Bombyx mori: one gene and its partner. The protein of the gene in region 1 purifies or fractionates together with the protein of each later gene. This does not show direct contact. Links are inferred from orthologs where the notes say so. Each region holds a gene or a part of one and is shown on either strand. Other genes may lie near its edges.

Region 1 (3,570 bases):
ACCCTGACCTGTGGGGCCTGCAGGAGAGCGTTTGCGCTGGCTGACATAATCAGGTTCATCCAGCACAAAGTCTCGTCCTGCGATAAAGAGCTCACGTCTTATCACTGCTATAGCGCTGGTAAGTATAATAAGTATCAATAGGGTATCCACTAATATTTTTGAGTTTTGAGATATAATCCTTTACATAAATCTGAGATATCAAACATTCCTTGTTGTGGATAAATGAAATTATACTAGTTAAATAAGAATTTTACACTAGTAACTTCACTCTATACCCATATATTAGAAAGATTCACAATTTACCTACTACCGGTCGTCGATGATCCTCTACCAGAACACTGTCCACGGTGATAACCATACTCGATCCGGTGGACCGAATGGTATACAGTCGACGTCGCTCTAAGCACGCCATTACGGATCATCCCGATCCATTAACGGTGCTTTTAGGTACCACAAGCACCGGTCACCGTCCTCGTCGAACCCGTCGCTTGCGACGACGGGCTCGACGAGTAAATTAACCCATAGACACAACCCACTGAGTTTGTCGCCGGATCTTCTCAGTGGGTCGCGTTTCCGATCCGGCGGTAGATTCTGCGAAGCACTGCTCTTGCTAGGGCCAGTGTTAGTTGGCAACACTCCCGGTTTGAGCCCCGTGAGCTCACCTACAAGAAGAAGAAGCTCAAGAAGAAGCTGAAATAGCCTCTCAAGGCTATCAGAAATTTCAGGAAAAAAAGTGATAACTTTTTTTTTATTGCCCTTGTAGGCAGACGAGCATACGGCCCACCTGATGGTGAGTGGTTACCGTCGCCCATGGACTTCAGCAATGCCAGGGGCAGAGCCAAGTCGCTGCCTACAACTAAACAAAAATTAAAAACAATAAGATAAGCATGGAAATACATAGCCAGATAAATATTCCTCAATATTATTATACTTTTCATTAATAACAATAGAAGATACGATCAAAATCAAATCGTTTATTTAACAGGTCCGAATTCAGACCAGGAAGACGGGTCCAGGCCAGGTCAGGTTTCAACAGCGAACTCTAGCGGTCGAAGACCCTCGCTTCTGACCGCAAGGCGACTTCCGAACAGCAGGATCCACACACCGCCTTTGGCTAGTCCATCAATAGCACCGCCTGACCTTTTAGAAGATGGAGGCGCTTCGAGCACTCCAAAAAGACTTCTCGATGGTATGCAAAAATACTACGATTCACATACTAATAAGGACAACATTTTTTTTAAATTAACAATTGTTAGTACAGTAAAAGCTTCTTAATCGTGCTTCCTTCATTCGCGTTTTCAATAGTCGCGGATTAAAAAAATTCGACTCAATTCTTATATTCGCGGCTAGAGATTTATTTATTCGCGGATTTAATCTATTGTACATCGATACATACAAATTGATTTAAACAATTCCAATATGTAGGTATCCAACAGACTATCTAACCGATTCTGTATTCGCGGCATATTTACGGAACATATGTATACCCCGCTAATAAAGAGCTTTTACTATATTAGGGCGTAACCGGTATACGTTTTACACCAAAATATTTTGCGTTCCAACTAGGACGGACATTGTACTACAACCTTATGCCTCAATGTGGACAAAAGCATTCATTTTGAACTCTGAATGGCCAGAGACCTAACTAAACAATACCAAGGTAACTAAAATCAGGAAAACTGGGAATCAGTCTGTCTACGTCATCATTAATACGTCATCGTCATCGTCAATACCCATATGATAATTGTCTAATCTGATAATTTTAATTTGAACATTAAACAATATTAATAAGTATACCACAATAATGAAATTACCTTCTTAAATCCGTTCATAGAGTAATTAAATGTAAATGAGTAAGAAAATATACACATACATTTGATGAGGTTGCCAATTTAATAAATGCAATTTTGACAAGAAGATAAACTATAATAGTTCTAATCTATATCTATACTAATATGTAAATCTACAGTGGTTTTACGGATATTCCGTTATAATTACTGAACCATGCATCCTATTGGCTTGAAACTTGGTATCCATGCAGAAAATACATGTACTTAATGCATAGGCTAATATTTATATGAGTGCTGGGCTTCCTACTCCAGTTGCGGGTGCGTTCATGAAATAATAATGTTAATTTTAAATGCCCAGCAAAGCGGACGGGTACAGCTTAATTCTAAATCTAATTCTTAGTTTAATTCTAAAGGTGAACCAAAATAATCATGATTTCTTATTCAGAAGCCGAAACTGAAACCTCAACACCCAAACGGCGGGCCTCAACATCACCGTTACCTTCAAGTTCGCCTGATGAAGATATCAAGCCTAAGATCAAGCAAGAGCGTATGGATACATCGGGATCTCCTGAAGACCAGAAAAAGTCGAGAACCGAGGTTGCCGACGCTGAATCAAATACCATGCATAGTGGTGAGTACAAAAATTTCAAATATGATGTATTCAATTCGGTAAAACATTTAGTTTGCGATTAATTTAATAAAACCCCGTTCTTGTTTCTATAAATTTTTGACTATTTAGCTTGTTCTCCCATCAAACAAAACATTATAGACACGCTAAGCAAAACGTATATTGGATTGCCAGGCTAACGGAAGAAACACGTGCGTTTGACAAATTCCTTTTATACGTAAGTTCCACGTCATCGCCTTTTCACGGTACGATATTTAATATTTTTATTAATGATACTGGGCACTGGTTGACATCAAAGGATTTGGCTTGCGACGACATTTTTATCTTTGCTCCATCCTTTGTACTCGATGCAAGATGTTGCACAACATCATTGTTGGACGTTCGGTAATGCTTACGTCATCGTAGATCCATACATTCCGTACACACACGCTGGGCGTAATCTCCAAACCCGATACATTATAACAAAGGAACGCAAACGAAATATATTAGACACGGTCTGAAAGCCACATTGAAAGGGGCAATGTTAAAAATACACCCAAATGAAAAGCTGGCGCTGAACCCGACTAAAAATAGCGAGATTTTTTCCTTAAAAATTCAAAACACTTCAATTCACTAATCCTTAAACCGTCTGATAAAAAGAATCCTCCGTAACATCTGTATAAGCGAGCAATCTTGCGGGGGTCGGTCCGGGGAATAATCTATCCGAGAGAGCTAACCCTTTGTGCGAGCAGATGCGGTGTCATTCGACACTTTTGTAATAAACCGTTGCACAACAAAGCTTTTCTTAAACCCGAAATTTGTGCATCGGTGTATTTTCAACCCGCATTTTGTTCGCTTCGTGCCGCTGTAAAGCTGTTTTAGCAGCGAAACCTTCGTAACCAAACAGTTGCGGCTCACTTTAATTATTTCGAAGCTGCATTTATACCTCATACTAAAGTATTAAGAGTCAAAATTTCTCAAACTTTATACGTTTACATTAATTAGGTTACCGTAATTAAGAACTAAGACTATGCCTTTTTTCGTCCTAATATATAATCGGCTCGTCATGTAAATACAATTGCGCTATTGCATGTCAATAACAGGTTTTCCCTTGACACCAGTTGTTTCGGATTATTGAGTTTATCCTAAACGTTCATATTAACCCTTTCGAGT
Region 2 (4,011 bases), on another chromosome or scaffold:
CGTAAAACTTGGCAAGCTCGCGACAAGAAAGGAATGTAATAGTATAAGGTCATTTGTTTTAAATTACATATTTTCACACACACCACATTTTAATTTTATTTAAGTTCCTTTCTTGATAACTGTTATATTTTTATTATGTTTAAAATGAACTTCAGTAATTCTATTACATTATATAGGTGTATAACACTGATATTATTAGTGTAGGTATTAGCGACATAAGCAGGAAAAATAGAAGAAGAATAATGTATGATTAAATATATTTATGGGCACTTTGAAAATGGATAATTAACTTATTTTATTAATGCTTTTTTATGAAATACTTTTAGTGTTAATTTATATAAATACGTAATATTCCCGTAAAAAAGGAATTAAATATTTTGAAATTTATATATGCATAAAAATACTATGTTGGCTTATATAACAAAAAATAGTATTTTAGTTGGACAAAACTAAGCATAGGTCATTGAGCTCAATCAATTTTCAAAAGCTGAAGGTCACTGATAAAGACAATTTTATACTTTTATTGAATAAAAAAACACTTGAAAAAAACTACTATTTTCCATTTTCATTATTGAAATTTTAATAATCATCCTAGTGATTTTGAATTTATTTATATCTGTATGTGTATATCATATTATTATGGTTTCTTATTGTACTGCGTCAGTGTGTTTTTAGTGTATTTTCTTTACTCAGCACCTAAATTAAATTTATATTGTGTATTATGCAGATGTATATTAGATATCTGCATGTTTGCATTAAAATTGCAATATGTAGAAATTTATAAATAGATACAATAACAAACTAGAGTAGAGCAGAGACGTTTTGTTGTAGATCAAAATATTCTATTACAAACAAATATACTTAAAATAACACTACGCTAACACAATACTATTAATTTAAACTGAAAGAATGCAATGTATTGTTATAATTCTTTTCCTAGATACCCTGAAATGTTTTAATTCATTAATTGCAGGGTCACTGAATGACAGCTGACAAACCCTTTAAACTTTTATGCCAGAATAGATTTAATAATCACTGTGATCATGGTCTATATCAATCATTGGATTAATAAAATACCTTTTAATTTTGAATCCTTTGCATTTGCAATATTAAACTTTGTTTATTGGAGCATACCTACTGCTTTCAGTACATCTGAAGTATTTGTGGTGGCCTTGATAGAATAAAGAAATGCATGTTTGTTTATGTTATTAGTGTTGATTGCAAAAAATTGTGTTTGACAGCATTTTCAAAATGTTTTTATTATTTTTATAATGAGAACAGTTTGGCAGTAGTTTTAGAGTAATAAAAAATAGTGTATAGCTCTTTCAGGTTTAAAAGATTAACAAAAGATTAACATTAATTCATTGAACTGACAATTTAACTTGATTTAATAGCAAAGTAAAATTTTATTGGCTTTAGAACATATTTTATAATTGTTGTATAGGTAATTAGAATGAAATTGTTAATTTTATGTTTTGGAGGGAAAAAAATATTTCATTTTAAGATTTACTATATTGACCTAAGGTTAGTGTAAAACTACGGGTCAAGATTTAATTTTAAAATTAAAAACTTTAATAATCCCTAATTTATAGTTGATCACAGAGTAATATTTATTTACCCATTTAATGAAATTATTAAATAAAATACATTCCATCTCGGTTCTAACAAAATTATTTTACTAAGAATTAGCTAATTTTGAAACAAAGACATAACCTTAACAGAAGCATTACATTACATGATAGGAAGTGATACAAAAGGAAGGGCTAATTAACATTCGACGCGACGGACGCCGAGTGCGGTACATGAGGCGCTCGTGTTGTTCTCGCGACTCGCGGCATCAATATCCTACAGCAACCGACATCCTCGACTACCACCGTCCATACACAAACAAACCAATAATTTATAATGACTAGCGACGCCACACTTTTACTGTTTACTTTCTTATCATCCCTAAACTCTTCCAAGATATACCAAATAACCCAAAAACAACCAGCTCTCGTATCAAAATGTTTTGACAACATCGAATATAACCTAAAATCTCACGTCAAAATCATCAAACTATTCTAAAAAACTATCATCTCAGTTAGGTAACTAAAGACGCTTCATGCCTAACCGCCCGCACGCAGATACACGAGCCGATACAATGATACCTAGACGTAAATGCTAATGTCCTATTTGATTTGACGAATTTTGGTAAAATATAACTTTTCCGCAAACTTTATCAAACGGTTATAAACACGATAACCTCCACGGATACATAAAAACCGGCATTTTTTGGGTGTTTAATATGTTTGGATTAATTAATATAAGCAATTAATGAAAGTACGACAATCAAAGCAAAGCACCGCTAGTCGGCTGGCGGTGAACCGGCGAAGCTACAACAAAAATAACCAATTATTGCTACTCACCGCCGACTCTGTACATATTCGCAGCCATTTTTATACACAATCACTATTCATTAACACTTAATTAATCTACATCTGACACAATTAATAACTATAACACTATGTAATTGAGCTTTTAACAATGTTTTTCATCACGTTAACTCCGGACGCCTTTCGCTGATCGCCATTTTCTTTCACACTACTAATTTGGCCAGTGCGCAGTCGCACTTTTTGGCGTAAACTTCCTGCTTTTGAAACAAAGCAATGACATGTCATTAATTTTGTGTCCACAAATAAAATCCAAATGATTATTATTTTGAATTATAAAAAGTATTGTTTGAAAATAATATCGTCCATTGAAAATTTATTTTACGATGTCCTAAAATAAAAAAAATAATTCATTCAACCACGTTTCGTTCTTTTAACGGGAACAGTGTTGACAAGATTTTAATTATATTAAATATTTACTGTAATTTTTTTTTCAACAAGAAGTAAGAAAGTTTCTTTAATTAAATAAATTTTAACATAATATTTATTTGTATATTGAAGACTGAATATAATAAATTGTGTTTTATATCTAAAATTAATTTTAATTCGAATTTGGAATGTGGAAAGGAACGTCAGAGAACCATAAAGAAAACCAAAAATTTTTATTTTTTTTCTCCCTTAAAAGTATTTTTATTTAAAAATGTTATTTATATATTTAAAGATTTATTAATTTGTGGTTCGTTTGATAGTAAAATTTTAAATTATTTTTATATGTTGTGATGGATGGCGTGTAAAAATGTGACGTGGCCAGTATGACAGCTGATTTGTCTATGGTGTTGACAACTGCCAAATCAGCCAGCCTCTCCAGTCTGCTTGGTTTCTAAAAAATTGAGAAATTTATGGGATTTTTGAATGAAGACATATTGTGATTTAAGAAATTTGCTCATGTGTTTATAACTGGTTCGCCGCATGACTTTTTGGTACGTACATTTGGTTAATAGTGCTTCTAAAGTTACCAGAGTCTGTGTGCATTTATGATGTTTTTGTAATGTATCTTTTTCGTATAGATCGGCGATATGGCCACATACGAGGAGTTCATCCAGCAGAATGAAGACCGCGATGGCATACGGTTCACTTGGAACGTATGGCCATCAAGTAGAATTGAGGCTACGAGGCTTGTTGTGCCTTTGGCTTGCTTGTACCAACCGCTTAAGGAGCGCCCCGACCTACCACCGATACAGTACGAGCCTGTACTCTGTACACGAAATACATGCAGAGCTATATTGAACCCAATGTGCCAGGTGGATTACAGAGCTAAATTATGGGTCTGCAACTTTTGCTTCCAACGAAACCCAGTGAGTACTTGAAGAAATTCGCCACTAACTCAATTAGTCTAATGTTTTTTTCTTTTAAAGTACTTATAGAGTAATCAATATATTTTAATTTCAGTTTCCACCTCAATATGCTGCTATATCAGAACAGCATCAACCTGCAGAACTGATTCCTAACTTTTCCACCATAGAGTACACAATAACGCGAGCACAGGCTATGCCCCCAATCTACCTGCTTGTTGTTGATACTTGTTTAGATGAGGAAGAACTTGGGGCACTCAAAGATTCCTTGCAGACTTCACTTAGTT

The links. The genes of interacting proteins can lie anywhere in the genome.
Region 2: the proteins of B-cell lymphoma/leukemia 11A (region 1) and metastasis-associated protein MTA3 purify together in Homo sapiens (affinity purification with mass spectrometry; 4 studies listed by BioGRID and IntAct, counting the BioPlex papers as one, with this or other methods). This does not show direct contact. The link is inferred for Bombyx mori from reciprocal best matches to the Homo sapiens genes BCL11A and MTA1.

The regions. Positions count from the first base shown.
Region 1 is NC_085124.1:5,004,152-5,007,721, reverse strand, and holds part of B-cell lymphoma/leukemia 11A, read left to right. Parts: coding exon 1-118; intron 119-985; coding exon 986-1,189; intron 1,190-2,235; coding exon 2,236-2,421; intron 2,422-3,570. UniProt on the Homo sapiens protein: Transcription factor. Associated with the BAF SWI/SNF chromatin remodeling complex. Binds to the 5'-TGACCA-3' sequence motif in regulatory regions of target genes, including a distal promoter of the HBG1 hemoglobin subunit gamma-1 gene.
Region 2 is NC_085131.1:3,800,686-3,804,696, reverse strand, and holds the start of metastasis-associated protein MTA3, read right to left. Parts: upstream 2,838-4,011; 5' UTR 2,437-2,837; coding exon 2,409-2,436; intron 1-2,408. Other genes in the region: protein transport protein Sec23A, read left to right, coding at 3,449-3,727, 3,822-4,011. UniProt on the Homo sapiens protein: Transcriptional coregulator which can act as both a transcriptional corepressor and coactivator. Acts as a component of the histone deacetylase NuRD complex which participates in the remodeling of chromatin.